4 linked regions of the Lonchura striata genome follow. The protein of the gene in region 4 interacts with the protein of the main gene of each other region in a pairwise test. Links are inferred from orthologs where the notes say so. Each region holds a gene or a part of one and is shown on either strand. Other genes may lie near its edges.

Region 1 (7,848 bases), on a different chromosome or scaffold from region 4:
CAAGTGATAGCTACTGGCCATGCCCAACAGCCCAGTTTCACATCTCGTTTCTGGTCACTCACACACAAAGCTATGCCAGGCCTTTCTCTTTTCCCACTTCATTACTGAGGTTCAAACTAGTTTAATTTTGGACTGGCAGTACATGCCATATTCCTAAGGATTTGACATCATCTTTTTGCTTGAGAAAAAAAAAACCCACAACCTGACCAAAAATGCTGAAAATTCTGCCCCGCACCTACACAGGTTCCCAGGGAGATGTCCACATGGTTGCTGTACAAGGTAGAAACACAGCTCAGGGCAGCCGTGTGTCCAGGGAGGCTGTGGAGCAGCTGTGTGTCCAGGCTCAGGACAGCCGTGTGTCCAGGGAGGCCGTGGAGCCTCAGTGCAGGCTCCGCACACGCAATGGGCCAGGCTCCGCACACGCAGAGGGCCAGGCTCCGCACACGCAATGGGCCAGGCTCCGCACACGCAGAGGGCCAGGCTCCGCACACGCAGCGGGCCAGGCTCCGCACACGCAGCGGGCCAGGCTCCGCACACGCAGAGGGGCAGGCTCCGTACACGCAATGGGCCAGGCTCCTCACACGCAGAGGGGCAGGCTCCTCACACGCAATGGGCCAAGCTCCTCACACGCAGCGGGCCAGGCTCCACACACGCAGAGGGGCAGGCTCCTCACACGCAGCGGGCCAGGCTCCGCACACGCAATGGGCCAGGCTCCGCACACGCAGAGGGCCAGGCTCCTCACACGCAGAGGGCCAGGCTCCGCACACACAGAGGGGCAGGCTCCGCACACGCAGAGGGCCAGGCTCCGCACACGCAGAGGGCCAGGCTCCGCACACGCAATGGGGCAGGCTCCGCACACGCAGAGGGCCAGGCTCCGCACACGCAGAGGGCCAGGCTCAGCACACGCAGCGGGCCAGGCTCCGCACACGCAGCGGCCAGGCTCCGCACACGCAGCAGGCCAGGCTCCGCACACGCAATGGGCCAGGCTCCGCACACGCAGAGGGCCAGGCTCCGCACACGCAGAGGGCCAGGCTCCGCACACGCAGCGGGCCAGGCTCCTCACACGCAGTGGGCCAGGCTCCGCACACGCAATGGGCCAGGCTCCGCACACGCAGAGGGCCAGGCTCCGCACACGCAGAGGGGCAGGCTCCGCACACGCAGAGGGCCAGGCTCCGCACACGCAATGGGCCAAGCTCCTCACACGCAGAGGGGCAGGCTCCGTACACGCAATGGGCCAAGCTCCTCACACGCAGAGGGGCAGGCTCCGTACACGCAATGGGCCAAGCTCCTCACACGCAGAGGGGCAGGCTCCGTACACGCAATGGGCCAAGCTCCTCACACACAGAGGGGCAGGCTCCGCACACGCAGCGGGCCAGGCTCCGCACACGCAGAGGGGCAGGCTCCTCACACGCAATGGGCCAGGCTCCGCACACGCAGAGCGGCAGGCTCCTCACACGCAATGGGCCAGGCTCCTCACACGCAGAGGGCCAGGCTCCGCACACGCAGAGCGGCAGGCTCCTCACACGCAATGGGCCAGGCTCCTCACACGCAATGGGCCAGGCTCCGCACACGCAGAGCGGCAGGCTCCTCACACGCAGAGGGGCTGGCTCCTCACACGCAATGGGCCAGGCTCCGCACACGCAGAGGGCCAGGCTCCTCACACGCAGAGGGCCAGGCTCCGCACACGCAGAGGGGCAGGCTCCTCACACGCAGAGGGCCAGGCTCCTCACACGCAGAGGGCCAGGCTCCGCACACGCAGAGGGCCAGGCTCCACACACGCGCTCCTGGAGCAGGGTCCCAGCCCATGGCAGCCCACCAGGAACGCTCCCTGCTCCCAGACCCTGCCCTGCTCTTCCACGCCATGAGCACCCAAAAACAAAAGAGCGCAGCTGCTCATCCGCATCACCTCCACGAAACCCACCCAGACTCACTGATGTGACTGAGCATGACAGAAAAGCAACTGAGAGCAACACAGACTATGGCCACTAACAGGCTCACTACTCTGCTTTTCCAGGCAAGTATCACAAGTTCTGCTTGCTTTTCTAGGGGGTTTTCCTGTACCACGTTACACTAAGTACTAAACCTGATACTAAGTATATTACCCTGGTACTAAACCAAACTAGTCTACTGTTAAGCTCACTGAACTCCCTGAACTCGCCACTACTTTCCTGCAGCAAATAACCAGATGTTGCAGGACTGGATTATTTTCAGCACCACAATTAAGAAAAAAAAAAAAACATAACAAAATTTCCCATAGATTCAGAACTGCTTTTGCTCTTCATCTGTACTAAATGTATTTAAACAATCTACATAAAGTGAAGCAGAAGTACATGAAGTACTTATTTATGTTTTCTGTTCATTTAAAATGCAGCTTTTCTCCAGAGTCTTTTCTCAGTGCATGTAGGTTTCCACACTAAACAGCAAACACACAGTACTAATTAAGATTACTATTATTTGTACATAGTATATGCTATCACCGAATATGAAAAATACCTCAAAATGCACTACAGACCCTGTTTTGCTATTGCAAGAAGCTTCTATAAAAAGGCAATGTATCCTACAACTTTCCTTGTTTACACTGTGTGACTGAATTTAACTGTTCTTTATAAAAGGATCCTGCATTACTATTGAAAAATGCAAACTCCAAAAGGCATTATCTTTTGACGATCTAAGAAAATTTAGAACTAATTATCTCCCCTCATAGAAGATGACTTGCACAAAACTTTGTCCAACTGTGTTTCAAAGCAGAACTTCTGGTATCAGTACCGCTATTTGTGCTGAATATCTGACAAGATGAAAGGGAAAAATAGTTTTTACTGGAAAGGAAAGGGGCTATCAGCTTTTCTACCTTAAATTAAAAATATTAATAGCATCTTATTTCAGCAGCAATAGAGAACTTCATAAGCAATTTCAACAGAAAAAGAAAGTTACTGCAACCTACCTTTCCGCAGTAAGGTTACATTTACTTACATATAACATTGTAATGTTTAACAGAAACATTACAGGATATAAATGCCAACAGAAAGCTTTTGCCCCCAACACACACTCCCTCCACTTTGAATACGATGAACATGACTGAATTACTGTCTCTTCATAAACTAAACAGGCACATTTAGTGGGTTCCCATATATATATCGCAATGAACAAACTATTTTATGTTGACCTCAGAAATACAGTTATTAGTTAAGGGGAAAACATTATCATCTTTGTCATCTCTTAATCACTAAACTCCAATTTATCAAAAATTGACAATGCTGAAAAAACTGAAAAGCCAGTTCATGCAACACTAGTGCTCTCAATCCAACCACACCTCTTCCTTCAAACAGTCGAATCTGGAAGCAATGACTAATGTAAAATTAACAGGGAGCGGGAGGCTGTTTAGGGGAAAAAAAGTACAAAGGTCTATGGGGCAAACAGAGGCACTTCAGAAACACTCAGTTGTCTGCTTGTGAACACTGGCGATGTCTCCTGAGCGTCAGCCGGGAGGAGAAATGGACTAGAGGGGGCTTGAGTCATCAGCTCCAGTTTTTCTGTGTTGAAACAGCCTGGGTTCAGCATCAGCATTTATTTTATTGCGGCAAGACTTCATTTCCCAGCTCTCCCAGCCCAAGCCACGGCACTAGCACTCGGTAACCGGCACCTGCAGAGCACTTTCTGCTCCCGCACACACTGCAGCGCGCCCGAGGCACGGCCAGCCGGCGGCACGGCCACCTGTCCCCGCGGGCCACGGCTGTCCCCCCGCACCCACACCCCGCACGGGCTGCTCCGCGACCACCCCGCGTGTGTGACCGGAGACGGGGGAGAAAACACCGCAAGAAGTTCCTACAGCCTCGAGAGCCGCGCTCCCGGTGCGCGGGCCGAGGATGCTCCGTGGCTCCCGGCAGCGGGAGCGCGGCTTGTTCTGCGGTCACACGAAGGGTGAAAAATTCAGATTTAAGTCCCGGGCAGGGAACACAGGGACGGCAGGGGGGTCAGGCACCCCCGGGAACACCAGGGCAGCAGCCGGAGCCGGGGACTCCGGGGAGCACCGGCGCGGACGCCGGGCCCCGTGGCCGCCCCGTACGAGCACACCGGGAGCGCAGGGCCCGGCGCTGCCGGCTGCCCGCGCCCGCTCCGCCGACCCCGCCATCCCCTGCAGCACCCGCCGTGTCCCCGCCCGGCCCCGCGCCCGGGGCCGTGCGGCGCTGCGGGCACGGCGAGGCCCGGCGGCCCTGCCCGCTGCGGCTCCGCTGGGCTCGAAGCTCCGGGCGCGGCGCCGCGCACACCTCGCGCACACGGCGGGCACCGGCGGGCCCGGGCTCCGCGCTCCCGCCCGGCGCCCGGGGCAGGGCGGTGGCACCTCCGCCCGCGGGGCCCCCTCCGGGCGGCTCCACCGGGCTCCGGGCGGCCCCGCGGGCGCGGAGAGCGCGCGGCGCGCCGCCCGCGGGTCCGCCCGAGACGACGGCTCTTCGGCCCCGATGCCCCGGCGGGGTCCGCCGCCTCGCCTGCCTCGCCTCCCGCGCCGCGCCCCGCCGCCCCTCGCCTGTCCCGCGCGGCGGCCCCGGCCCGCGGCCTCCCCGTGCCCGCACTCACCGCGCGGAGCGGCCCCGCGGCCCCGCCGGGCGCGCCCGCCCTACCCCGGGGTCTCCATGGTGGCGGCCCCGCCGCCCGCTCCGCCCGCCCCGCCCCGCCCGCGCAACGCGTCACGCTCTGCCCGGCCCGGCGGCCGCCCCCATTGGCCAGGCGCGGCCCGGGGGGGCGCCCCATTGGCTGCTGCTCCGCGTTAAACCCGCCAATGGTGGCGCGACTTGAGGTTGCCGTGGTTACCGATGCCGTGAGGGGGAGACGGCGCGGACGGGCCGGGACGGACCCGGGCCGGGACAGACCCGGGCCGGCTCCGCCAGGACTGCCCGTGGCCCCACCGCCGTGAGCCCTCGCGGTGAGTGTCCGAGCGATGGATGGACGGATGGGTGGATGGATGGATGGAGCACAACCGGTGCAGGGTGCCCGTGATGGCCGGGCGTGCCTGTCCCGCGCTGCCGGCCGCCTCCTGTCCCGCCGAAGGAGGAGCGCAGAGAAGAGCAGCCGGAGTTCCGGGGGCTTTGCCGGGCCCGTCTGCCCGTCACCCTGTGTCACCGGGATGGCCCTTCTTGGACAGGGAGCTTGGACTGGCCGGCCGCTCGTGGTCCCGTCCCGCCTGCCGCTCCTGTGACCGGCGTCGCGGTACCGGCAGAACGCACAGCCCGCGGCGCTGCTCGAACACCTGGGCTAACTCCAGGTGTTTGGGGACGATGGGGAAACGCTTTCCATAGTGTTTTAATTTCCCACCATTTTAAGCTTCCAATAGCAGCCGAACTCTCTTGATGGCGTGTGAGGAATCATAGACGTCGAAAAGAAAAGCCAGTATCCCTAAAATCGCCGTAAAACATTTCAATAACAAGCTTTGGGCATGTTAAATGCTTGATCAATTTTTTGCATCCCATACCTGACCTAGACTTACCATCTCGGTGTGTCTCGGGAATCTGACTGGGGCCATTCCTCTCCTTCCAGCCTCCCGAGCAGATCGCCCCGGTGTAGCCCAGGTGTGACTGGTTTTCCATTTACTTATTCTCTCCTCCCACCCTCCAGCCCTGCAGGTACGATAGCGATCGACACTCTCCACTTCATGGGACGGTGTTGTAAATGGCTCAGAGGAGCCAAAAGCAAACGGCCACTTGAATCAGCAGCTCTTGCTGGCTCTAGAGGTTGTTTTATTCACCCTCTTCCCCTGTTGTATAGATGCAGATGGTGTAGAAATCCTGCTGTGAAGGAACGTGAAAAAGGTATCCACATGTAACTTGTGTCTGTTTTCCATCCAGCTCAGTTTTTCGGTTTACTGTTTGGTGGGGTGAACCACAGTTTTATTTTAGGCGTGAGGACACATGAACTCGTGTTGTGGTTTAATTGGTGCTGTGCTGATGCTGCAGTTAGAATTATGTCCTTGTTAGCCTCTGCTTAGGAGGGAACTGCAGGTAACAAGGAGGAGGTAGCTGAACATGAGAGTCACCTCTAAACTCGTCTGCCCCTTCTCTTAATTTCCCACTTGGGATGTAATATACTACATGGAAACTATTGGTAAGATATTTAATCTCTGAGGTTTTTGTTGCTATTTGTATAATTATTTATCTGTTGAATAATGCAATAGGAACTCCTACATTATGATGATATCCACATAGTAAACACTTGACAGCTGTAGCCAGGAGTCTTGAGTCCTCACTGCTCTGAAAAATCTCATGGTTTATACCATGTGAACTGCATATAAAATATGACGAAACTAAAATGGTGGTCTCTGTCTAGGAAATGGGAAACAGGAGCTGAGGGAAATAACAGTAGAAACTTAGTAAAATAGAGTAGCAGTTGTGAAATAAAATAAGTGGTGGAAGGGTCAAATGAGAGTGGAGAGCTGGAGTAAAGAAAAGATAAAATGTGAGTTAACTTGATCATGAATAAAGGGAAGAGAAAGCATAGGATGTGTGAGAGCTGTGACCTTCCTTAGCTGTAAGGTTGCTTCTACCAAAGGTGTACTGGATTAGTTAAATTGGCTTCAAATCAGTCTCAACTGGTTTTCACATGTAATTTGGGTATTATTATGCTGGCTTGGCTTTCACAGGTAACAGCTTTTGGGAAAGGAGGAAGCTTACTTGCCCCTCAGCAAGTGAAACTGTTCCTGGGCATCGCTGTGGGCAGGATGCAGGAGGTGGCACAATGCCATCCCCAGGCCTTCCTGGTTCTGGTGGCTCCAGGTGACCAGGAACAGGCTGCTCCAGGTGCCCTGCATCCCTGCGCAGCCATGCATTGCAGGCTCTGGCTGTGCTTTAGAGTTCCCCATTGGGGTGAGCTGGAAAAGGGTAAGAAATGCTGTTGGGAAGGAGAAAGGGATCTTGAGTCAGTTTGTTTTGGCACAAGAGAAGTAGAAAGAATTGAAAGTAATGTTTTGAGGTCCTGTCAGATTTGGAAATATGCTGAATGACTGTCAGTGAGGAAAAGCTGTTTCATTCTGTCTGGTATTAGTCATAGCCTCCTAGCTGGTTTGTTTTGGCACCCTGAGCAGCCAATACATTATCTAATTGACTGCCGTGTGTCCCAGTGCAGCAGTCCTGTCCAACAAGGATGACATAGGCTATGGAAAGGCACCCCATTTTAACTGTCCAGTTAAATGTCTAGCAAAGGGCTGCCTGGATGGTGATTCTTTGATTCCTTATCCATTAGCTGAAAGTGACCTTTGTCAAATATATGTTTAAATTCTTACATAATTTTTTAAATCGGCAACAAACAAGTCAATTTTATTTCTTTTCATCTTCTTCTGGATGCAACTTGCAAGTAAGATGGTCTGTATCATTCTCATTTAGAAAGCCATCATTCCACTATGTTTACAATTCATAGCAACCTAGTCTCATACTTTCCTTTGGGACTGTATGGTTTCTCTTGAGCCTTAAATCTGACCCTTTAAACTGACTGTGCTCATCTTCCTGTGGTTTAGATGGCAATGCTGTTAACAGATACTTGCTAGCTGTTTTTGCTGCTGTTGTGCTTCTTCAGTGTTTCCAGTCATTAATATGTTTTTCTGCTTTGTTTAATCTAGTCTGAAATCAATCCATAACAGAGTCTTGCTTTTTATATATATTCCACAGATGCTTACAGCCCTTGCAGAACATTGACATGTCTATCTTTTAATTTTAGTGATAAATATCAGTCACAAAAACAGTTTGCTATTTTTCTTGGTGGGTGTTGTGTTTTGTTTTTCTCATTTATTCTACTTTTTGTTTTGTTGTTGTGAATTTGGTTGGTTTGGTTTTGGGGGGTTATTTGGGGGAGGCTGAGGGCTGTGGT
Region 2 (7,561 bases), on a different chromosome or scaffold from region 4:
AACCTTAAGGAACCTGTAATTCTGTGGACAGTTCAGACTCAAACATCACCAGCAAACCAGCTGAACCTCACTCCTCTTGAATTAAGGAGATAAATGACTTTAATCCATCTGCTACTTCCAGCTCTGGGATCCGCAGCACTGGAAGGATGTGGAGCTGCTGGAATGAGTCCAGAGAAGGCCAGGGAGGTGCTCCAAGGGCTGGAGCTCCTCTGCTCTGGAGACACCTTAGAGCCCCTTAGTGCCTGAAGGTGTTCCAAGAGGGCTGGAGGGGGACTTTGGACAGGGATAGAGTGACAGGACAGGTTGAACAGGGCTTGGAGCAACCTGGTGTGATGGAAGGCCTCCCTACCCATGGCAGGGGATAGAATGAGATGAGCTTTAAGGTCCCCTCCAATCTAACCCATTCCAGGATTCCACGATCCTAAAGAGGCTTCTTTAACTTTAAATTTTGAAACTGCTTTTTTTTTTTTGCCTTGAATCTCTCCTACAGTCACCTCAGAATTCCCACTTTGCCAGCAGCACTGGAGGAACCACTGGACCCTGACTCAGAACACACACAGACGTACCACAGTCTCTCCTGCTGAATTTTTCTTGGTTTTCCTTTTCTTTTTTTTCTTCCGTGGCTTGTTACTCGTTGCCAGCTGCAAAGACAAAGGGAAGAGCTGTCAGCATTCCCAGGGGTGCCAGCTCCATGGGAAGAAGAGCATTTCCCACAGGAAATCAGCATGCTGAGGGTCCTTAAACGAAACCAAAATTCACCCTTCAGTGTTTGTTAGTGGGTGGAAATCAAGACACATGGAGAAAATGGAGGAAAGCACCAAAGATTCAAAAAGGGCAAAACCTCAGCTAACTTTCACATCAGTGTCTGAGGCTACAAAATCGAGAGAGAAACAAGTTCAGCTGTGCCAGGTGTGGAGGAAATGCTTCAGCCTCTTCCAGTCCCAACACCTGACAAAGGTCCAAGTGCCAGAGTGGCTCTCCCCAGAGATGCAGCTGCTTCAGCTCAGGATGCTGGGGGCATTCCCTACCCTGCTGGCACAGCTGCTCTTACCCGGACTGCACAGATGGGAAGCACATTTCCAGGCTCTAGCAGGTAACTCAGCAAGGGATCACAGCATCATGGGATGGTTTGGGGTGGAAGTGACCTCGAAGTTTATCCAGTTCCTATCCTCTGTCTAAGCAGGGACATCTTCCACTAGACCAGGTTGCTCCAAGCCTTGTCCTGGCTCTACCCAGGAGCAGCAGCTGCCTGCCAGGGCTCCCACATCCTACTTGGAGCTCTGGGAGCAGCCACAGGTGTGTCTGGCAGTGCTGGCACAGCCACCTCACCAGGTCAGGACCCCTGGAGCCACTGCTCACACAGGGACACACTGTCCAGAGCACTCACAGCCCCTGGGCTGGGAGAGGTCACTGGCACAGCTGGAATGCACAGTGGACTTTGCTCCTCTGCCACCCAAACCAGGGACACAAACCCCAAATACATAGCAAACAAGTGAGACCAGGGCCCAACCCCCTTTGCTCCCCCAGCATTCTTCTCTGGTGAGATCTGGGCATGCCTTGCAATGGGAAATTGTTAATTAAATACCCCTTTCCTTAGAAAATCCTGCAAGGAGACACTTCTGGGCTGATACAGACCACAGGAGGAATCTTGACATCCAATGACAACAAAGTACTATGGGGAAGAAGAGGTTCAGTGTTCAGCTGACACTGCTTGAAGTCCTCACATCCCCTCTGTGAGACCACTCCTCCCTGGCCCGACCCCAGCGCTCACGTGGGCACAGCACAACGCCTTCCCCGGGTGCCTCCCCTCTGCAGCCGGCAAATCCCTCTGGATCCTGCATATAAACCCAGCCCCAGCAGCAAAGTGCTCGTCCTGCCCAGACAGGAGTGAATTCCCGGGCAGGAGTGAGTGTCCCTGCCGGGATCCCTGGCAGCATTACCGTTCTGTGTGGCTGCTCGGCCTCCTGCCCCTCTCTCTGTCCATCACCGTCCGTCTCCGGAGGGCTCCCAGCCCCTTCCTTGCTCCCGTGCCTGCTCCCCTCCTGGCTCCCTCCCGCCGTGTCCTGCTCGCTGAGCCGGGGCTCCGGTCGCTCCTCTCCGGCTGCCGGCTCGTCCTCTGACTCCTCAGCTGGGATCTGCAAACACAGGGATGGAACTGCCCACGGATCTGATCCACCACTCCTCCTGCACACAGATGGAGGTCTGGACACCCCTCGTGTCAAGCGTGTCACCCAGAGGCTGCCCACAGAGGGGAGCACAGGACTCCCATGATGTGTCCCCTCACACCATGGACTCCACTCTTCCCTTGGAAGAGCTTCCAGACGTGGCCTTGCCCACGCTCACACAGCCAGGCGCCGGGGAAGGACAGGGACTGGATGGGGCTGGAGGAGGTGTCTGGGAAGCAGGACCGGGCTCTGTCACCCCAAGGACCCAGCAAGGCCCGTCTGACATCCAGCACTGGGATCCGGCAGTGCTGGGAAGGTGGCAGGGATGTTCCTAAAAACATTCTCACCAGTCCAGCTCTGACACCATCCAAACCCAGGCCTCTCTCCCATTTCCTCCCGGTCCAGCCCCAGCTGCTGCCCCCCACCCAAACCCATCACTGACCCCAATCACTGACCCCAAGTCACTGCCATACACACTGTCACCTCTGCCACCCCCTCAGTCACTGCCCCCCTGTTCCTTCCAGTACCCCCAAAGCCCGTCAGCCTCTGCTCCCAGGTCACTGTCGCTCAGCAATGTCCCGACTGCCCACCCGGCTCGGTCACTGCCCCACAGCTGACCCCCCAGAAACGTCCCCCGAGTCCCCGCCAGCCCCAGCACCCGCCCCCAGCCGCTGCACCCCGCGGCTTCGCTCCTCCTCACCAGCTCGAAGCGGTTGCTGACGCCGGCGCGGGGCGGCCCGCGGGGCCCCTTCCCGGGGGCTGGCGGCGGCCCCCCCTCCCGGGCGCGCTCCGGGCCGGGGCGGAGGCCGAGCTCGCCCAGCCCCGGCCCCTCCTGGCCGCGCTGCTCGCCCCGCAGCCGCCTCAGGGCCCGGCGCGACATCGCCCCCGCCCGCCGCGCGCCTGCGCCCGCACCGCGCCTGCGCGCCGCCCGCGCCGCGCCCGCCCGCCGCCGCCGCGCGCGGCCATTGGCGGCTGCGCGCAGGCCACGCCCAGGCCACGCCCCCCGCGCGCCGACGTCCCCGTCGGGGCCCGCGCGTGGAACGCGTCCCGGAGCGGGGAGCGGGGAAACGGGAACCGGGAACGGGGAAACGAACGGGGAAATGGGACACGGCCCTGAGACACGGGGAAACGGGGAACGGGAAACGGGGAAATACACGGGGACACGGGGCACGGGAAACGGGGAGACGCGGCAGGGCCCGGGACACGGGCGGGGACCGGGCGCAGGCTGGGGTGGGGGCGCGCGGGAGTGGGGAGGGGAGCGCAGGAATGAGGTGCGGGGCGTGCCCACGGTGCTGTGCGGGGTCACGGTGGGCACAGCCCGGGGCGGATGAGGGCTGGCGGTGGGAGATGTGCGGGTTGAAAGGTATCCCCGATCCCCTGAGAGCCCGCAGCACCCTCACCCCGCTCCCCCATCCACTCAACAGCGGCCACGCGGCCCCAGGGCAGCCCAGCGGGTTTATTATGGAGGGGACATACAGAACAGCCGTGCCAGCCCAGGGCACCCCGGCACAGCCAGGGCTTGGCACAGAAGCGGGGCCGGGGGGCGAACGCAGGGGCTGTGGGTGTCCCACAGCAGGATCCAGCCCCCAGGAGCTGCCCCGCAGCGGGATCCGTCTTCCCGGGGGGCTGTGGGTGTCCCGCAGCAGGATCCATTCCCTCGGGGGCTGGTGGCAGGGACGCACGGGGATGGCAGGGACAGCGGGAACGGGTCCTTTTGCCCCCTGGTCCATAATGTATATAAATATAGAAGCTGTGTGTATCCATCCTATGTATATATGTACATCGGGGGGCTGTGCCACCCCCGTGGCGACCTTCACCGGGCCGCCCGGCCCTTCTTCACTTGAGCCACGCGTCGCTGTAGAGGGAGCGCGCCTTGGCGTGGCGCCGGGACGCGGCGCTGGCGTTGAGCACGGCCACGCTGCGGCGGCTGGAGCTCACCACGTCGGTGACGAAGCCGGCGCAGTCGGAGCAGACGTCGCGCAGGACCGAGCCCTGGGCGTAGATGTGGGGGAATTCCTCCTCCACCCGGCGCCAGCACGGCCCCGAGAGCGAGCTGCGGCACAGGGCACCCCGTCAGCCCCCGCCGGCGGAGGAGGAGGAGGAGGAGGAGGAGGGGAACGGGGAGGAAGGCTCAGGGACTCACTGGAAGGGCTCCCTCCGGCGCAGCGGCGGGGCCCTGGGCAGCAGCGAGCCCGGCAGGCTCTCGAAGCCCAGCGCGTAGACGGGGATGTGAGCCAGCTTCTTGGAAGGCATCTTCATCTGCCGGAATGCGGGAGTCAGGGCGGGACGGGACAGCGACAGCGAAAGGGACAGGGATGGGGTAGGGATAGAGCACACAGGGATGGGGATGGGTCAGAGTGACAAGACAGGACAGGAGTGGAGTGGGATGGGGCAGGGACAGGGAGAAAATGGGGCAGGAGAAGGGCAGGGCAAGGGGCACAGTGGCACTGCTCAGACAGAGCCAGTCCCTTACCTTTAGACTGCAGGAGCTACAGACAGACCTAGGGACAGAGAGAGGTGGGTGAGAGGGCCCATTGTGGGGACCTGCTGCTGCCCTCCCAGCCCTGTGACACAGCACAGCATGGCACAGTTGGGCACAGTGCTCACCGCTTGCAGAAGAAACACGACGTGGGCCAGGAGAAGAGAGGAAACTTGGCCCTGCAGCAGCAGCAGACCTGTGGGCAGAGCAGGGTGAGCTGGGGTGGGTGGGTGTGGACACACGGTCCCCAGTCCCTCCAGCCCCCATCCCCATTCCCACCTTGCCCCTCCGCAGGCTGCTGTACAGCTCCTTGCTCTGCAGGAACTTCTCCATCTCGGCCTTGACCAGCACCCTGCGCACGTTGATCATCTCCTCCACAGTCAGGGCCAGGCTCTCCACAGGGTGGCTGAACTCCTGTGACGGGGGGGATGTCACTGCACTGTGACACAGGGCACGGTCCAGAGCACTCCTGTGCCAGGGCAGAGCCTCCAAACATGGGCAGAGCACCCCTGGCATAGGCAGAGTGTCCCAGGAGAGGCAGGCTATTTCTGGCACAAGGACCCCCCAGCCACCGTGTATCCTTGTGCCAGGCTGCCATGTGCCCACGGTCATGCTTGCCTGGTGTCCCCAGCCCCAGTGTTCCCAGCTGAAACCCACCAGCCAGAGGTGCTTGGAGCTGCTGGCAGGGGCAGCACTGGATCCATCCTCTGGCCTCTCCTCCACAGCTCCGAGGGCAGCCCGGGGCAGTGCTGGGCCATCTGGCAGCGGGTGGCAGCTGGCAGGGACAGAGCCTGCGGGGAGGGACAGGGAGGCTGTGGCCACCACCGCTGACGGGCATGGCACAGAACCCCTGGAGACAGGGACATGGCACCCCCGGGGGTACCTGAGCGGGGCCGTGGCTCGGGCTGCAGTGGCTCCGGGTCCCGTGGCACAGCCTGGTCACCCCCCAGTTGGCTCTGCAGCTGGGCCAGGTCCTGCTCCGAGAAGGAGCGATCCCTTTTCAGTGGCACCTCCGTGCCCGGAGAGTCCTCGTCCTGCAAGGCCGTGGGCACCGTGTCACCAAGGGCACCCTGGCACCCCCGTGTCTCCCCACCTCTGCAGGTTCTCCCTTGCCTCGGAGAGGTTCATCTCCTCCATCTCGGCCAGGGTGGGCGCCTTGAGCAGGACGCGTGGCCGTGGGCGCGCGGGCACGGCGCTGGCCGGGCAGCGGGACAGCTCGAGGCAGGAGCTGGAGCTCAGGCGGCCGGCGCAGGCGTGTGGGATGCAGGGCAAGGAGCTGTATCCTGCGGAGGGACGGGCTCAGCGCCGCGGGGATGGGCACACGGTGACACAGCGCAGCGGGGAGGGGACCCGGGTACCTTTCTGCTCCACGGGCCGGAGCTTCCGCTCCTGCCTGATCTCCTCCAGGATCTTCTCATGGAGCGTCCTCTGCTTCTGGGGCAGCGGCCGCAGCCGCCGCTCTGATGCCTGCGGGATACACAGATGGGACCTCAGGTGTGGCCATGGCTCAGGGGTGGCACCCATGGGACCCACCAACACTGTCATGACAGGGAGGTGGCCCGGTGCTGGCACTCACCTGCTTCAGGGGGGGCCGGGAGCGGATGAAGTCGAGTATGAGCTCGTGGGCATCTTTCTTCACCCGGGGGGGGATGTCTCCATCCACCTGGGGAGGGAAGGGGGTCAGTGCCAGGCTGGAGAGTGGCAGGAGGGGCTGGCACGGTGGCCACGCTCACCATGACCTTGCGGAGTTTGTAGTTGCGGGCACGGATGTCCTGCATGAGCATCTCGAAGGGCGTGAGCTGGTACTCGGTGGGCAGAGGGTTGAACTGCTTCTCCTGCACCTTCTTCAGCTTCACACCGTGCCGCAGCTCCCGCATCAGCTGCACCCACAGCCGGGCCTGGGGGGACACACGGACACGGTGTCAGCACCCACCCGTGCCCAGCTCAGCCCTGTGCCCAGCTCAGCCCCGTGCCCAGCTCATTCCCCGTGCCCAGCTCAGCCTCCGTGCCCAGCTCAGCCTCCGTGCCCAGCACAGCCCCGTGCCCAGCTCAGCCCTGTTCCCAGCTCAGCCCCATGCCCAGCCACACTGCTGTACCCAGTCTGTGTTGCGCAGGTTGCCCAGATCTGCCACCGGCCGCTCCTCTTCTTCCTCATCCTCCTTCAGCTTCTGCAGTAGCTGTTGGGACACAAGATGCTGTCACCTTGTCCTGGTGGCACTGAAGGTGCAGCCAGGACTGTGCCATGGGGCTGCAGCACTGAGGTGCACCCCAATTCCTGGTTCCCAGGCAGCACAGCAGTCTGGGAGAGGCTGTACGGCCAAGCACCGGCACCAGCAGCCCTGGTTGGCATGGGCAGAGGGAGCAGTGCAGCCTCCCCCATTCCTTTGTCACTGCAGGTGGTTTCCTCGGCAGGGCCCTGGTGCCAGCAGCCCACGCTCACCTCCTTGGCATCGCGGATCTTGGCGAGGAAGGCCATGAGCTCCACGGTCTCTGCGAAGAGGGCGCGGCACACAGCCTGGTAGTGCGCCGGGGCGCCGGCGGGGTCGGCCAGGCGGGCGGCGCAGCAGCGCATGGCCTGGCCGAAGGTGCGCACCGAGCGAGGCGGCCCCTCGCCCCCCTCCTCCTCCTCATCCTGCCCCCCGTAGCCCTCGTCGGCCGTGGCGCAGCCGCTGTCCTCGGAGTCGCTGTTGGTCATCAGGTCGATGAGCTGCTCCAGGCGCGGGCTCAGCTCCCGCTCCTCGTTCTCGTCCAGCCCCCAGTCCAGCGCCCGGTACACGGCAAAGCCCAGCGACTGCACCATCTGCGGGGGACAGCACCGGCTGGGGCAGCGTGCACCCGGCACCAGCTGGCCCCAGCCCCTCCTTGGTGCTGGTCCCGTCCCAGGACCTGTGACCCCCGGGCGAGGGGGGCAGGTGCT
Region 3 (7,735 bases), on a different chromosome or scaffold from region 4:
CAAAGAGGCAAACACAGAGCCAGGCTGCCACCCAGAGCTCTGCTCCTTTCTTTCCTTGGGGCTCCCCTGCAAACCCCAAAGAGGCAAACACAGAGCCAGGCTGCCACCCAGAGCTCTGCTCCTTTCTTTCCTTGGGGCTGCTCAGCCATCACAGACAGGTGCCATGGACTGCGTGCTCCCTTTTTCCTCCTGTTCTGCAGAGCCCAGACGGGACTGGTGCCATGCTGTCCCTGCCTGCAGATCCTGCTCCCTGCCCTGCCATTCCAGCTTCATCCGCACAGACGTGGATCTGCCCTGGCTGCTTCCCTCTGCCATCCCATGGAATTGTTTCACTGTCACCCTGGCAGGGTAAGGTCACCCCTCCTGCCGTGTCAGGGACAGCAGCAGGGCAGCAGCTGCCAGGAGGGCTCCCCCTCCCAGCTGTGGGGTTTGGGAGGATGGAAATGGGGTTCCCAGAGCCCCAGCCAGCCCAGCAGCCCACTCACGATGATCATCCGGCAGACGTGGCCGCGGCACAGCTCCGAGTAGGACGAGTAGTGCATGTAGGCCACCCAGCTGCCCACGAAGATGCCCAGCCACACCACCAGCAGGTACTTCACCTTGATGCCCGGGAGGCGGCCCTGCAAGGGAAAGGAAATGCTTTTGAAACCCTTTCTGAAGGGCAGGGCTTTGCCCAGGGCAGCAGCAGCTGGCCAAGGACGGCTCCTGCCACACGCACCGACCTGAGCGCTGGGGAAACCTTCAGCCTTTTTTATATATATTCATCAGTCTCTTATGCAACTCCTGCTGCAAGTAGGTCACTTAAAATTCCCTAAAAGCAGAGGGATTAGCAGGCTGGGCTGCAAGGAGATGGGTGCTGTGCATCCCTGGGAGCTGTGGTCACGTCCTCCTGCTCTCCTGCCCTGTGCAAGCCTGGGGTACCCCAGAGGGGCTGCAAGAGCTCTGCTCCTGTTTGGGGGGACCCCTCTCAGCAGAACCCCCCCTTGACAAAGCCCCACGGGCAGGGGAAGCTCCCAGCAGCACTTCCCGTGTGGGAGTGGGCGAGTGACAAACCTGGGAGCTCACGGGTGATGCTCTGTGCAAACGACTCGGAGGCTCTCAGCAGGATTTTGGTTTTGCTGGCTCTGTTCCTTCCCCCTGACCCTGGCACAGCAGCACTGCTGCCATCTGGCCTCCTGCAAGAGAGGCTGCTCACCTGGCTCCCGTAACGGAGCAGATCCCGGCGGTTCCAAAGGGCAGGGAACGAATCCTTGCACTAAACAAATCTTTCCATCCCATTTCTGTAGGTAATTCTACAGAAACCTTGGTCTTTGACCACCTCCAAACCCTCCTCAAGACCTGCTGCTGGGGGATAGGGCTGGATCTGAGTGAGTGCAGCACCTTTAAAACCTGCCAGGGATCCTCACTTGGGTCTTGTAGCCCAAAACCACTCCCCACCTCCAAAACGCTCCTCCTCAGCCCCTTTCCAGGAGCTGTCAGGGCTCTGGGAGCCACAGGAATGGGCAGTGAGGGTGAGAGCAGGCAGGTCTGCCTCGAGATCGTGACATTTCTCCTGTTAATTGGAAACCCTAAAGTGTGAAGAGGGAAAGGGTGCCCAGTTTGCCTGTGAAGCAATGGCACCGCTAATTAACATGAAATTAAATTAAAGAGAAGCCAAGCACAGCCAGGCCTTGGCAAAGACAAAGCGTGGGGTGAGCTGAGAACCAGCTCATGGCCCTGAAGTCAGACACACTGAGACCCTGAGATCCCCCCCAGCACAGCAGCCCCCCAAAACTACCCAGGGTGGGTGCCTGAGGCCCCCTGCCCTCAGCAAAGGGGCTCTTCAGGGACTTCCTGCTAGAAATATGTCTTAGAGAACCTGGAATAGCCAAAATGTCACTTTTTGCTTATTCTGACTTAGAATCCATCATGTTCCTGTGGGAGAAGCAAGTCAGGACTGCGGGCATGGGGAACTCTGGCTGCATCATCCCCAAAACGGTGGAAAGAAACGTGGGAGTGGGGGATGCATTTCAATGAGAGGTTCCCCTGAGCTCTGCTTGGATTTTGGATTTTGAGGGTTCCTCAAAGAGGGTCTCTCTCCCCATTGCCTTCCCTGCACTGAAGGGTGTCGCCCTGTGAGAGTTGCTGTGTTTAGTTTTAGAGTGACTCGAGGATATGAAAGTGACTTTGGGCTGGGGCTGACTTCAAAGGCAAAATGGATGCAGCATCAACAAAATCCTGCTCCATCCCTGTGGCTCCCCTGGGAACACGGGGGTTGTTTCCAAGCACTCCCAGCTCTGCACCCACCTCCTGCCAGCACCCTCTGCCCACCGGGTATCCCCTCATCCCCTCCAGGGTAACCCCTCTGGTCCGGGATCTTTGCCACAGTCAGGCTCTCTCAGCCCACGGCTGCAGAGAAAACTCCCATTCCAGCATCCCTGACATCCTCCAGCATCCCTGACATCCCTGGCCCCAGCATCCCTGGAGATCTGAGGGAGGTGCCCGGCCCCTCGGAAGCTCAGAGATGGGAAGAGGAGGAAAAAAAAAAAAAAAAGAAAGAAAGAGAAGGAAGGAGTCATCCCTTCCCTGCTGCATCGGCGGCTTCACCCAGCGCTGCGGGCTGCCCCGGTGCCCCCAGGCTCCGGCACGGCGGAGCGCGGCGCGGGTTATGCAACCGCTGCGGCCCCGGCTGCTGCCCCAGACCCCCGGCGTTCCTCCAGACCCCCGCGGTGCCGCTGCCCGGCCCCCAGCTCCTTGCACCGGCGTCGGGGGAACCGAGCCGGAGCGTCCCTTTGTGCACGGCCGGTGCCAGGATGCGGGAGACGGGCATCCCTGAGCCCGCACCCTCCATCCCAGCGCATCCCCCCTCATTCCCAGCGCATCCCCGAGCCCGCATCCTCCAGCGCGGCTCATCCTCCCTCTTGCCGGTACCTGCAGGCCCTTGGACAAGGGGCAGAAGAGCACCAGATGCACCAGCCGCCGGATCCTCCGCATGCTGCGGGCACCCCGCGGCCGCGGGCTTCAGGCTCCGGGGGGCATGGCCGGGCGGCCGCGGCCCCCGCACCGCCGCCGGGGCCCGGGGGCGGGCCGGGGTCCCGGGGAATGGGGGCCCAGCCTCGCCGCCCGCTCCGCCGCAGCGCCCGGCCCGGCCCGCGGGGCTCGGCGGCTCCGCCCGGCGCGGGGCGGTGCGGGAGGCGGAGGCGGCGCTCGCAGCTCCGCCGCAGCCCGGGGAACCGGGGGGATGCTGCTCCGCTCGGCCAAACCCAACCCAGCGCTCCGCATCTGGGCATCCCAGCCGGCGGTGTCATGCCGCAAGCCCGAGGGGTCCATCCACTGGAGGAGCCATGCCCATCCCATATTCCGGGGTTCCGCTGGGAGAGCCCCTGTGCGGTGGGGTGAGCCTGGGGATGGGATCCCCGAGTGGGTGGAACCCACTCGGGGATCCCATCCCCAGGTTCACCCCACCCACTCGGGGATCCCATCCCCAGGCTCACCCCACCCACTCGGGGATCCCATCCCCAGGCTCACCCCACCCACTCGGGGATCCCATCCCCAGGCTCACCCCACCGCACAGAGGCTCTCCCAGCCCTGCTTGATGATCCTGGCAGAGCAGGGAGGGCTCTGTGGAGATGCTGATCCCACCTGGCCCCCAGCATTCACAGCAGCTCCAGGTTTATTCAGAGCCATTTGGGGTGACAGGCGGCCAGACTCCCTCCTTGTTCCCCATAGCAGGTAACCTGTGAGCACAGCTCGGGGGGCTGCAGCCCCTCAGGCCTGAGCCCTGCCACCCCTTCTCCTCCTTGCTGTGTCTTTTCCCCACCCCGAAACCCAACAGCAGCGTGGGCTGTTCCTCCCTGTTTGCATTGTGGCCAGGCAGGGAAATCTCACAGCAAGACTTTGTGTTCAATAGGCCAGAGACAGCCCCATCCAGGGGGATCCTGCATGCACATTCAAGTTAAAGCAATGGGGATGGAGCAAATATAATGATGGGAAATGATCCTGTGTGCACGTTCAAGTTAGAGCAAGGGGGACGGAGCAAATAAGATGGGAAATTATCTGGGAGACTCAGTCACGAGGGCATTGTTAAGATAATTCCTTGCCTGCTATCAGCAAATCTTCAGATTATCCGTTTGCCCCCTTTTAGTGGCTCAGGTTGTTCCTTCATTTTGAATTTGGCTTAAAATGACCTTTGAAAACAGACTGGTCACTGAGAGCCCAGATCCCTGCTCGGTGTGAGTGCCAAGCACTGAGTAATCAGGGCCTAATGAGCAAAAGCCTTTGCCAGACTAATCCAAATGATGGTGATGAATAAGGAGCATCACACAAAACTGCCTGAAACCTCCCAAATCCTGCAGTGTGCTTGCTGCCTGCTTTTAACCCCGAGGAGGTCCCTGCTGCTCCAGTGCTGTGCCCTGACCTCTGTGTGGGCTGGGCTGACATTGCCTGCAGCGGTGACAGGGACAGGGACAATGAACGTCACCTCGGCCACCCACAGCCCCCATCCAGGCAGGTATGACCACCCACTGAAGCCAGGATGGTTCTCCAGCAGGTTCTTATTTTTAGTGTTAATTCACACAGGAAAAAAGAAAAGCCTCTGAGATTTATTTTTGATGGTGGGGTTGGTAATTTGGGAAAGAGCAGGGACAGGAAGGTGGATTGCTGGATGCATTCCACACTCCCTGCTCACCCTGCTGCTGCAGCTCCTTCTGACTTGAACTCTGATTTTGGAGGCCAAGAGTGGGAGAAGAATTCTCAATGGAGATGGGAAATGACACACCTGGGCCAGGGCTGAGGGTGGCTTGAAATCCACAGAACTCTGCTGTGGGGCTCTGCAAAATTCAGGTGTGGATTGTCCAGCGAATCTAATTAGGAATGAGCAGACTATCCCAAGCTGTAATATGCCAAGTAATTAAGTGATTAGTATTGATTGTTAGGATGCCTAATGAGCAGTTATCACTGAATGATTAATTAATCCAATCAAAAGAGTAATAAAAATTCTGCAGGTGTGATGATACCCAACGCACAAGGGAAGGGAGATCTCTCCCCATGGTGCCCATGTGCTGTTTCTATCCCAGATACCTGGCACCAGGGATGCTCTGCCTGGGCTGCTGCCCCTGTGCAAGGTATCTCTCCCCTCCCCAAAATCCCCTGGCACTGCCAGGATGGGCTCCAGCATCAGGCAGGCAGAGCTGTGTGAAAATGCTCCCACAGGCGCTGTCAGCATGCAGAAGATGCCGGGATCAGCCAATGCTCAGCTCCTCCCTGGGACTTCTTTCACTCCCTGCCTTGATTAAGTCGCTTCAGTTTCTCCTGGTCAAAGCCCTGCTAATCCCAGCTCAGCCCGCAGCGTGCTGCGCTGGCCTCTGATCACTTCCCTGCCAGGCGGTGGCTCTGCGGGCACGTCCCCAAGGGCACCGTGCCCCCGGGACATGGCAGCCACAGCCCCACAGCGGTCATTTGCTGGCCCGTGATATTTACCTGGCTAAATGAAAAGGAGTAAATGATCTCCAGCCAGAGATAACAGCAGTGCAGAGCAGCCTGGCTCGTGAGCAGGGACCTCCAGCCATCCCTTTTTCCATCCCCTCATCCCCTCCAGGGCACCCTGAGCTGCCCACCTTCCTCTGGGTGGGATGTCAGAGTTGGGTGACAGCTGGGGACAGCCCAATGCCATCACCGGCAGTGCCCAGAGCTGCTGGTCAGCAGGGGAGTGCAGGACCCCAAACCCAAACAGGGGCACATGCTCACCCCCCTCTCCTCTGCCATCAGGATCAGCCCCATGGGCACAGAGGGATTTCTGCCCCGGGCGGGCTGCGATGGCTCCCGGCATTCCCAGGCATGGCCGCAGCTCCGGAGATGATGGATCCAGGCTTTAATGCTCTTTTCTGTGCATCTTTGAAGGATTTGAGGCTGACCGCCCGCGCTTCCTGCGCGGCATCCACAGCTGGCACTGCACAGCCCGTCAGCTGCCTCTGCTGCCTGCCGGCCCTGCCGGGCTCAGCACAGCGGTTATAATTAGAAATGCTAATCAGCTCTTGTGTTTCTGGCTTGACAGCCCTGCCACCCCCAGCACAATCTTCCCTCCAATCTGTCCTGTGCTTGCCCCCTCCGCTTCTTCTCCAAACCCCTGCTACTTGTAATTAAGCACTACGAAGTTAAGGGGGGTTGAATGGGGGTGCTGGGGCTCGTCGGATGCTTTGGGCCAGGATTGCAGCCCTCACAGAACTCCTGGCTTGCTGGGAACCATTTGGGGGTCTCACCCTTCATTCACCACCATCACCTTGGGCTGGGGACACCCCAGGGATGTCCCTGGCCCTGAACTATGAGGTGAAAGAGAGGGAAGCTCAAGGGTCTGCAGGCAGTGCTGGGGTTAAAGGCAAAGGGTGGTGGCTGTGGCTGGGAGCCCTGCGGTGCTGGCTCTGGAAGGGGAGCTTCTCTCATTGGGATTTCCATCATGTGCCAACCGTGGGCGCTTCCCAGCCAGGGAGGAAAGGGAGCTTGCAAAGGAGCTTGGAGAAGCAGGCTGAGCAAGCAGATCCCTGCACTGCTTTAGATTATGGAGTTATTCTTCATCAGGTCGTGCCCAGAGGATTCCTCCCTCACCAGTGGCCACGGACAGCCCCTGCCAGCCCCCAGCTGCTCCACATGAGAGCCAGGGCACAGCTTGCACCCTGGGCATTTGGCTCCCAAAGTCAGGCTTGGCCAGGGAGACATTCCTTGGAGCAGGCATGGGCTGAGCTGGCCTCAGAAGAGCCAGAGATGCACAGGTGGGATGAACAGCTCTGGACATGGTTTTTAAGTCCCCATTCATCTCCCAGGGGCTCCCTGTGTATCAGTTTCAGTGAGGAGAGAGGCTGCAGTTTGGAGGGTTGATGTGCAGAAGGTTTTCAAGAAGGCAGTGGCTGTGTGAGCAAAAGAGAACCCGCCCTCACCTCCCCTGTCCCATGCTTCACCTGGGACACCTCTGCTCACTGCAGCATCTCCCAGTGCCTGAATCAACAAAGGGCTCTCCCTCCTGAGCACAATTTATCCCTGGAGAAAGGGTAATAAGAGAAACAAGGAGGTATCACAAAGAGAGCATGGGAGGAACAGGGCATGGTGGCTTCAGTGATGATGCACTCGTGAAAAGGCACCAGCAGCACAAGCAACTGACTGGGAAAGCTCTGGGGGAGAAGTCAGATTGCATTTGTCATGACTAATTGACTCCCTCCAGCACTGTGGTCCAGCCTTCACGCATGGCATGAGCAGGGTCCCAAGCATCCAGGAATTAATGAAGGTCTGACCCTGTCTGCTCAGCCACTTGAGTTTTGCCAGTGCAGACAGCTGGCTTAAGAGACCCTTTTATCCTTTACAGATCAGATCAATTTGGATAGTTATAATCTAGTCCTGGTGAAAGCTCAGAGCAGACTTTATTGCCCAACCAGCTCAAGGAGAAAAAAAAGCAAGCAAGAGGGAGAGGTCATGCTGAAATATTGATTGTGCTGCTCCCACATTGGCCTCGGCAGAGAGCTCACCTGGGACAGTTTGCCTCTATCTCCTGCTAATGCTGCTCCATTGATCTTCTGTGACAGGCGGCAACTACAAGATTTTTTGAGGTCAGAGTCATTAAGAGGCATTAATCAATAACAGAGGAAACTGAGAGAGAGCAACTGTTTATTTCATGCAGACATATATTCCCCGTGTGGATTTTAGCCTACTGAGGTGTGCGTGGTTTATTTCAAGGGAGGAAAAGAATTCACTTTGTGGTGACTGGCACCTG
Region 4 (7,200 bases):
GAGATATTTCCCCCTGATTTAAGTACACTGCAGGATCAGAGCCAAAGGGACTTCTACTGTATCCAAATACAATACTTCTATTGTATCCAAAACTGAGGCCTGGCTGGATTTTTTCCCATCATTTATTTCTATAACTTTTATACCCCAAATCATTTGCACACATGATATAGATGATTTTTGGATTCAGGCAGATAATTAGTTATGTCTAAATCCCAAATGCGTTAAACTGCGTAATTACAAATGGCAAATAAGATGCATTAGCCTACAGGAATAGGGTTCTAATGATCTAAAAAATGTTTTCAAAGATAATAAAGAAAAATTATGGGCCTTTTATTGCCAGCATGTGGAAATTCATGTAGCTTGATCACATGAAACTGTTAATTTTGCATTTACCCTGAATTCTGAGCATTGCTTATGCAGTATTTATTTAGTATTTGGACTATTTTGACAGAGATTAATTATGTGCAGCCTAGTGCTGATAAACTGTAATTTTAAGTGGCTTGAATAAAACATCAGAAGCAACTGTGAACTTATAAATATCAATGCAAGGTTGAAGGATTAAGAAGAAAACATTCAGTTGAAAACAATAAGAGAATCCCAAATGTCCAAAAATCATGAAAAATTACAGGTCAACCCTGAATATTAATTGCATTTTCCATATTTTGCTCCAGACATTTGACAGACATACAACTTGGATTAAAATACTTGGAAATATTTATTAGTACAATGACAAAATCATTTATTCACTACATTTAAATGTGGAATAAGGATTTTTTTTTCTCCTTCTCCTCTTATTTATTACAGAGAACCTCTGAGGCATGAGAGAGGCATTCATACAGGAATGCAAGGAATCTTCCTAGCAAAGGAGGAAATCAAAAATTAAAACAGGGGAAGGGACTGATTAGTTGAACAGTAAAGAAGGCTGGTGCCCACTTTGAGCCTTTCTGCCCACCCTCCAAGGAAAGAGAACCTTAGAAAATTTAGATGCAAATAAAAACATGCTTTTGATCCAAGTGCAGATGGGGTCCCATAACTCTCTGAATAAATTGTTCCATCACCATGAAAGGATCTGGGGGAAATGGCTTGGTTATTTCCTGTATCTTCAGACTAGAAAAGACCTCCATCTCTGGGCAGGATGTGGGGAAAACTTGCCTCAGTCACTACATGCACTCCATATGCTTTTATTAACAGCTGTTTATAAAAGTTCCTGTTGCATGATAGAAAAAAGAAAGTGCCACTTGCTATTTTGCAAAAATTTTTCTGTTTCTCCTATGAGTAATATTTAGGGGAAGATACAATAAGAATAATAGGAATTATGCACATTTGAGATAGTTCTAACCATTTTAACTTCTCAAACACCAAAGTCCAACCCTCTTGGAAATGCAGATGGATTCACAATCAACAGATTCCCCGTGGAAAGCTGCTGGCTGGTACAGAAGAGCTAATCCAGAGTTCAGTGCATATTTCACTATAACAGATTATTTCAACATTGGTTTACCTTAAATTCATTTGCTACCCACCTGCCAGCACACATATTTGCACAATTTTAAAAAATGTTGATCCTTTCAGGAGACTTGCCATTACTCATTCCTTGGAGAGAAGGGCAGGTAACAGGCTGTGACCACTGAAGGATAAAATCCAAGCCCTGTGCAGGTCATTAAAGATTTCATCATTGGCCTCAGCTACGTCAAGATGACATGAAACCTGCTCAAAGACAAACAGACCAGAGACAAAAGGAAGAAGCTGTAAAACACATGCCAAATCAGTCTGATTAATTCACAAACTGAGTTCTTTTGGAACCTTTTTGTAAAATACCCTTAGCATTCTAATTAAACTTACTTATTCTAGAAAAATACCCTTAAGAATACATAACTAAGTAATTATACTATAGTCTCTGAAATATAAATATCTTAGCTATTTTAATTTTCCTTTTTTTACTAAATTTTCCACATTTCCTATTGTTTCATGAAACTTTTTTTGACATATCATGATTTTTTTTAAATATTTTTCCTCTGCCTTGTGAATTTGAAAGCTAAATCAAATGAACTGTATTATCTCAAGCAACACAATATCAGCATATTTCTGAGCAAATTAAAGCAGGACTTTCAAAAACAGTCAAGGGAGAAAATGTTTGGGTCTTTTTTTGCTGAGACTTCAACTTCTACTTCTAAATCATGTGACTTTTCTGACTTGAGAAGAAAGAAACCAGACACTTTGTTTTCTTACACAGCAGTAGGTTTCCTGACAATGTGACTTCCTCTTTGTCAAGAAATGCAAAACAAAGAGAGTTGAGATAACACAAAGGCTGTTGTCTTTCACAGAGACAGTATTTCCCACTTCTGATCCCAGTCTAATCATTTCTAGGGAACGAAAATATCCGTATTCATTAAAGGTATGTTGTTAAGCAGAGTCTGTTCCTTGATAGTTTATTCAGATGCAGTCGCCCTACTAAATGCCCTGTCCTGAGGGATTTTCAGACTCACAAACCATGAAATAAATTTTAACTTTTCTACTACTAGCCACTGGCAGTTGCTTAGTAATATGGAAATTATTCTGTTCTTTGGGCATCTCTATTCTTGCTCTAGTAGAGGGTAAAGTGAGCCAGTTAGGGTGTTTGCATAAATCCTAAATTACTCTCCCAGGCCTTCAGGCACTTTCCACTGTGTGCTAACACCAGCCACCCGAACACACACTTTATACACACTTCTTTATACAATCCTTTTGCAGTATCATGTTCCATGCTGGTCCTTCTCTCTAAGTGAAGGCCAACCTTGTAGCTTGTCAGATACATGAAAAAATGTGGGTGTGTTGTGACTTAGTGTCTTCCCATACCCCAAACCACTCTTAAAACAAGTCAAATAAAGCTAAATGGAAGATAATGAGCTCCTTTACAATATCTAAGAATGTACATGACAGTGGGCCAACTAATAGAAGAGGGTGAACAGAAAACCACACATATGGCAAAGAGTTGCGCTTCTCTGGGTAGCCCAGCTGTAGGTCCATGGACCACGCGGTCATCAAGATCATGATCCAGCTCATTCCTCAGCACACAGCAGTATCCCTAGGTAATGTCCAGAGGAAGCACAGGGCTGAGGATAATTCCTCCATCCTTTCATACTCCAAAGTCATGTCGTGGAGTCTCCTCAGATGAAGTTTCCTCATCACACCCACCTCTCTCCTCAGTGACATCCATACTCCATCGGGATGGCGTCGGAGCCTCCCTTATGGCAGACTACTGGCAGCTCTCCCTGCTTTAACCCCACTCCTTCGTGTTTCTCCCAGCACAACCCCTTCCCCCCAGTCAGGCGGGTTACGGTGCGTGTGCCAGCCTGGGAAACGTCCCAGCCCCAGGGTTAACCTTCGGTGGTTTGAACCTTTCTCCGTAAGGACGCTCCTGCCCGGGGCGTACCCCGGCGCCAGACACGCTCCCCCGCGCCCGGTTGGGTACAGATCACTGCTCCGCGTTCCCCGCAAACACCGAGGGGTTTTTCGCTCTCTGCTCACAGCGGTGCATGAGCTGCCCCAGGGCCGCCCGCGCTCTGCGGCCAGGGCGGCGCCAGGGCTCCTCACACTGCCCCGGGCTGAGCGCAATGGCGGGCTCGGTTTTCGGGGTCCCGCGGCAGCCGGTGCGGGAGAAGCCGGGTCGGCGGTGCGGGGGAAGCCGCAGGGCGGTGCGGGGGAAGCCGCAGGGCCGGCGGTGCGGGGGAAGCCGGGTCGGCGGTGCGGGGGAAGCCGCAGGGCCGGCGGTGCCGGGGCTCCCTGAGGGCCGGTCCCGCCCAGGCAGAGCCGCCGGGGTCGCGCCCTGCAGCTCCGCCCAGCCCCGCCAGGGGGCACCGTGCGCAGCGCGGGACAGGGCGAGTCACGAGACGGCCGCAGCTGTTGCCGGCAGGCCCGGGCAACATTCCGGGGAGGGGCGCGGCCATTGGCTGAGGGCGAGCACCGCGGGCGCTCCTATTGGCTGATGGTCGGGGAAGGCAGGGCGAGGACGTCTTTAAATAGGGCGGCCGAGGCGCTGGGCTGCACTCTCCGAGCCGGGGAAGCAGCTGTAGCGAGCCGGACCGTCAGCAGCCGAACGCCGCCGGGACATGCTCGCAGCCTGACTGACCGCAGGTGGCCGCCGCGCCCGGGACACGAATGAAGAAACAGCTGCTCCTCCTGTTCACACACCGGGGACTCGTCAGCCGAGGGGGCCGCAGGGGGAAGCGTCGCCGAAAATGGCCTCGTTCAGCATCCGCGCCGCGCGTCCCGAGGACTGTCCCGACCTGCTGCGACTGATCAAAGTGCGGGCGGGGCGCGGGGCGGAGCGGGGGGACAGCGCTGCCCGGTGCCGGAGCAAAACAAACTCTTGCGCAAGGGAGGGGGGCTGGGGAGAGGCCGCTCACAACCTCCTTCTCTTCCAGGAACTGGCGAAATACGAGGACATGGAGGACCAGGTGGTGCTAACTGAGAAAGGTACGGAGGCTGCAAGAGCTCACCCGGTTGGCGGCCGAGTGACAGTGCCTGTGTCTCAGGTGCGTGTGTATTCTACTTTTCTAGAGCTGCTTGAGGATGGTTTTGGCGAGCACCCTTTCTACCACTGTCTGGTTGCAGAAGTGCCGAAAGACCAGTGGTCATCTGAAGGTGAGGCTTCCTGATACTTACTTTTGGATGCTCAATACAGAGAAGCATCATTTGCTTAGTATTAGTGATTGTAGATGAGGTTCCACCATTGGACTGGGGTAGGAGGACTAGGTTAACTGGTAAAATTCAATAATGTATAGTGATACTCTGCTGAAGTGGTTGCTAGTCCTGAAAGCATGGGAGATCAGGTATAGCATAATGTGCTTGACTCCAATTATTAAATGGCTTTTCTTGTTTGACCCTGACTTACCTTTATGTAATTCTGTTGAATCACATTTTTTTCTTTAATTTGTCCCCAATCTTCAGGTTACAGTCTCTAGCTTCGCCATGTACATGGCCCTTCTGTGTACATGGATGGGCGGGGAGGTAACTAAAAGATCCGTTACACAATAAAGTAGATGATCATAATATGAGGTAAGGCCTACAGGGACAAGTGCTATTCCCAAACCTTTACCAAAGACACAGTAGATGGCAGAAACCTGTTTGCACGCTTCTATTACAGTATGTGCAGAGTGTTATGGCAGATGTAGTTAAAATACTCAGGGTTTGTGTTTTGAGTGGGCTGTTGTTGGAAGAGTTGGCTGTGGCTCAAGAGTTGGCTCAACTCTTGAGCCATCGAGTTGCAATTGAAGCTGCAGCTTTACTTACCTTCTTGGTGCTGAAGGTAAAGAAAACAGTGTGATGCTCAGTGGAAGCATAAGTGGAAGTGCTTGAAATGCTGCTATAAAGGTGGCCTGTAAATAGGCCTTCTGGCACAGTAGTTACTGAGAAATATACATAGAAGGATCAGTGTTTTCCAGGGTTTGACAGACTGTTCCTAAGGAAGCAGAGCTGGGGCAGTCATCTAGATTGTGAGCTGCTGTGTAAAGTACTTGTCTTCCAGACTAGAAATGAATCAGTAGGGTGTGCATTATTTTGTAGAAAAAGGCCATGTTTGCACTTACTATGACAGTGCTTTTGAGGATTTCAGGGTATGGACAGAGCAATTTTTTGTTTTATTAAGCTGATACAAATTTGCCAGAACTTGAGTTTTCAATTGTGTGCTTATTTGCAAACTTCACTTTTAATTGTATCCTAGTTTCAAATGTCTGCATGTCCCAGAGAATCTGTATGTTTAAACATGCATGTAAAACTTAGTATTTTTACCTTGTAAACTCTGACTAGCTGAAGTTACACCCTTTGTTTCAGAAACATGCATTGTGGGCTTTGCCATGTATTACTTCACTTATGATCCATGGATTGGAAAACTGCTGTACCTTGAAGATTTTTACGTGATGGCTGAGTACAGAGGTACCTATTGCAAAATTAGATGAGTTAAAGCCCATAGGGCTTCTGTAGATGTAAAACTTAAGCTTCTTGTTTCTTGGTTTTTTTTAGGACTTGGTATTGGGTCAGAAATTCTGAAGAACTTGAGTCAGGTATGTGTAAGTGCAAAGTCTAAACAAGAATTAAAGGAGGTGGCAGGACTCTAGACAGCTTAAAACATTGCCTAGAGTCTGGTAAGCTGAGAAATGCTGCAGTGGCTGCTGGAATGAACTCAGTGGCTTATGGCAGTAGCCAGTTGCTGAGTAATCTGGCTGGGTGTCACTGGGGCCGTCCCCAGGTGCTGTAACCGTGTGGCATTGGCTTTGCAGGTGGCTGTGAAGTGCCGCTGCAGCAGCATGCACTTCCTTGTCGCGGAGTGGAATGAACCTTCCATCAGGTTCTACAAGAGAAGGGGTGCCTCAGATCTGTCCACTGAGGAGGGCTGGAGGCTGTTCAAGATTGACAAGAAGTATCTCTTGAAGATGGCAGCAGAAGAGTGAGAGATTATTCCAGCAAATACGTATTTTCTGCGAATATATGCGCTCTCTGAATAAACTTCTTGCTTTCTGTGTATGTACAGTTTGTAGTGGAATAAAGTAGTGTGGATGCTAATAATGGCAGTGCAGGTGTGGTTATAGAGTAATGGTACTGTGATCTGGAGCTGAGGCATCTGTGAAGTTCAGTATGTGCTTGTGTGCATCCTTTACCAGTGTGGGCTTGTAATCCCTGTATATGGAGACTTCATTCTTGTAAGTGTCATTCAACTGTGTACAATGTACACACTGGTAGGGTTTGTTTTAATTATTGCCTTTTATAAAAATAAAATAGTGTTTTCACTTCATGGTAGTAGTTTTGACTTCAATTCTCACATAAAGTTTTCCATCAAATAACATGCACATTAATAAAAGACTTGATTGACGTCAGCCTTCTCACAAGTTAAATGATTTACTATGGTCTCCCAGGGAGATAAAAAGGCACTTGTGTGCCTGTGGGACCTGATGGCAAGGTTTGAGCACCTGACTGTTTGAAAGGGTTTGAGATCAACCCCTGGTGGTGCAGGGCATCCTGCCTTGTGACCTATATTTTTAGGTATGTTTGGAATCCCTACAGTAAGGTGCTGCTCTCTGGACAACTGTTCCAGAAAGTCCAGAGCTTGGGACTTCCACTTAACTGCAGAGCACCTCAGCTGGAAGGGCACAGCCTTGAAGGGAAAGATGCATCCTGGTATGGTTTCAAGGCCTGAGTAGCAAAAAATTAGTTCTGACTAGTCACATG

Evidence for each region.
Region 1: the proteins of SAT1 (region 4) and CCDC148 interact in binary tests that used the Homo sapiens proteins (3 or more experiments, as listed by UniProt). The two-hybrid records come from large-scale screens. The link is inferred for Lonchura striata from reciprocal best matches to the Homo sapiens genes SAT1 and CCDC148.
Region 2: the proteins of SAT1 (region 4) and TCF25 interact in binary tests that used the Homo sapiens proteins (3 or more experiments, as listed by UniProt). The two-hybrid records come from large-scale screens. The link is inferred for Lonchura striata from reciprocal best matches to the Homo sapiens genes SAT1 and TCF25.
Region 3: the proteins of SAT1 (region 4) and DIPK1B interact in binary tests that used the Homo sapiens proteins (3 or more experiments, as listed by UniProt). The two-hybrid records come from large-scale screens. The link is inferred for Lonchura striata from reciprocal best matches to the Homo sapiens genes SAT1 and DIPK1B.

What each region holds. Positions count from the first base shown.
Region 1 is NC_134610.1:625,579-633,426, forward strand, and holds the start of CCDC148 (coiled-coil domain-containing protein 148), read left to right. Parts: upstream 1-4,803; 5' UTR 4,804-4,918; intron 4,919-7,848.
Region 2 is NC_134615.1:22,908,265-22,915,825, reverse strand, and holds the start of TCF25 (ribosome quality control complex subunit TCF25), read right to left. Parts: upstream 3,046-7,561; coding exon 2,866-3,045; intron 2,136-2,865; coding exon 1,941-2,135; intron 642-1,940; coding exon 567-641; intron 1-566. Other genes in the region: SPIRE2 (protein spire homolog 2), read right to left, coding at 4,002-4,218, 4,309-4,424, 4,639-4,666, 4,773-4,840, 4,924-5,058, 5,302-5,435, 5,528-5,678, 5,758-5,927 and 5 more. UniProt on the Homo sapiens protein: Component of the ribosome quality control complex (RQC), a ribosome-associated complex that mediates ubiquitination and extraction of incompletely synthesized nascent chains for proteasomal degradation.
Region 3 is NC_134624.1:8,715,428-8,723,162, forward strand, and holds the start of DIPK1B (divergent protein kinase domain 1B), read right to left. Parts: upstream 3,046-7,735; 5' UTR 2,974-3,045; coding exon 2,911-2,973; intron 621-2,910; coding exon 486-620; intron 1-485.
Region 4 is NC_134604.1:103,766,716-103,773,915, forward strand, and holds SAT1 (diamine acetyltransferase 1), read left to right. Parts: upstream 1-4,099; 5' UTR 4,100-4,214; coding exon 4,215-4,280; intron 4,281-4,400; coding exon 4,401-4,620; intron 4,621-5,808; coding exon 5,809-5,910; intron 5,911-5,997; coding exon 5,998-6,038; intron 6,039-6,254; coding exon 6,255-6,425; 3' UTR 6,426-6,766; downstream 6,767-7,200. UniProt on the Homo sapiens protein: Enzyme which catalyzes the acetylation of polyamines. Substrate specificity: norspermidine = spermidine >> spermine > N(1)-acetylspermine. This highly regulated enzyme allows a fine attenuation of the intracellular concentration of polyamines.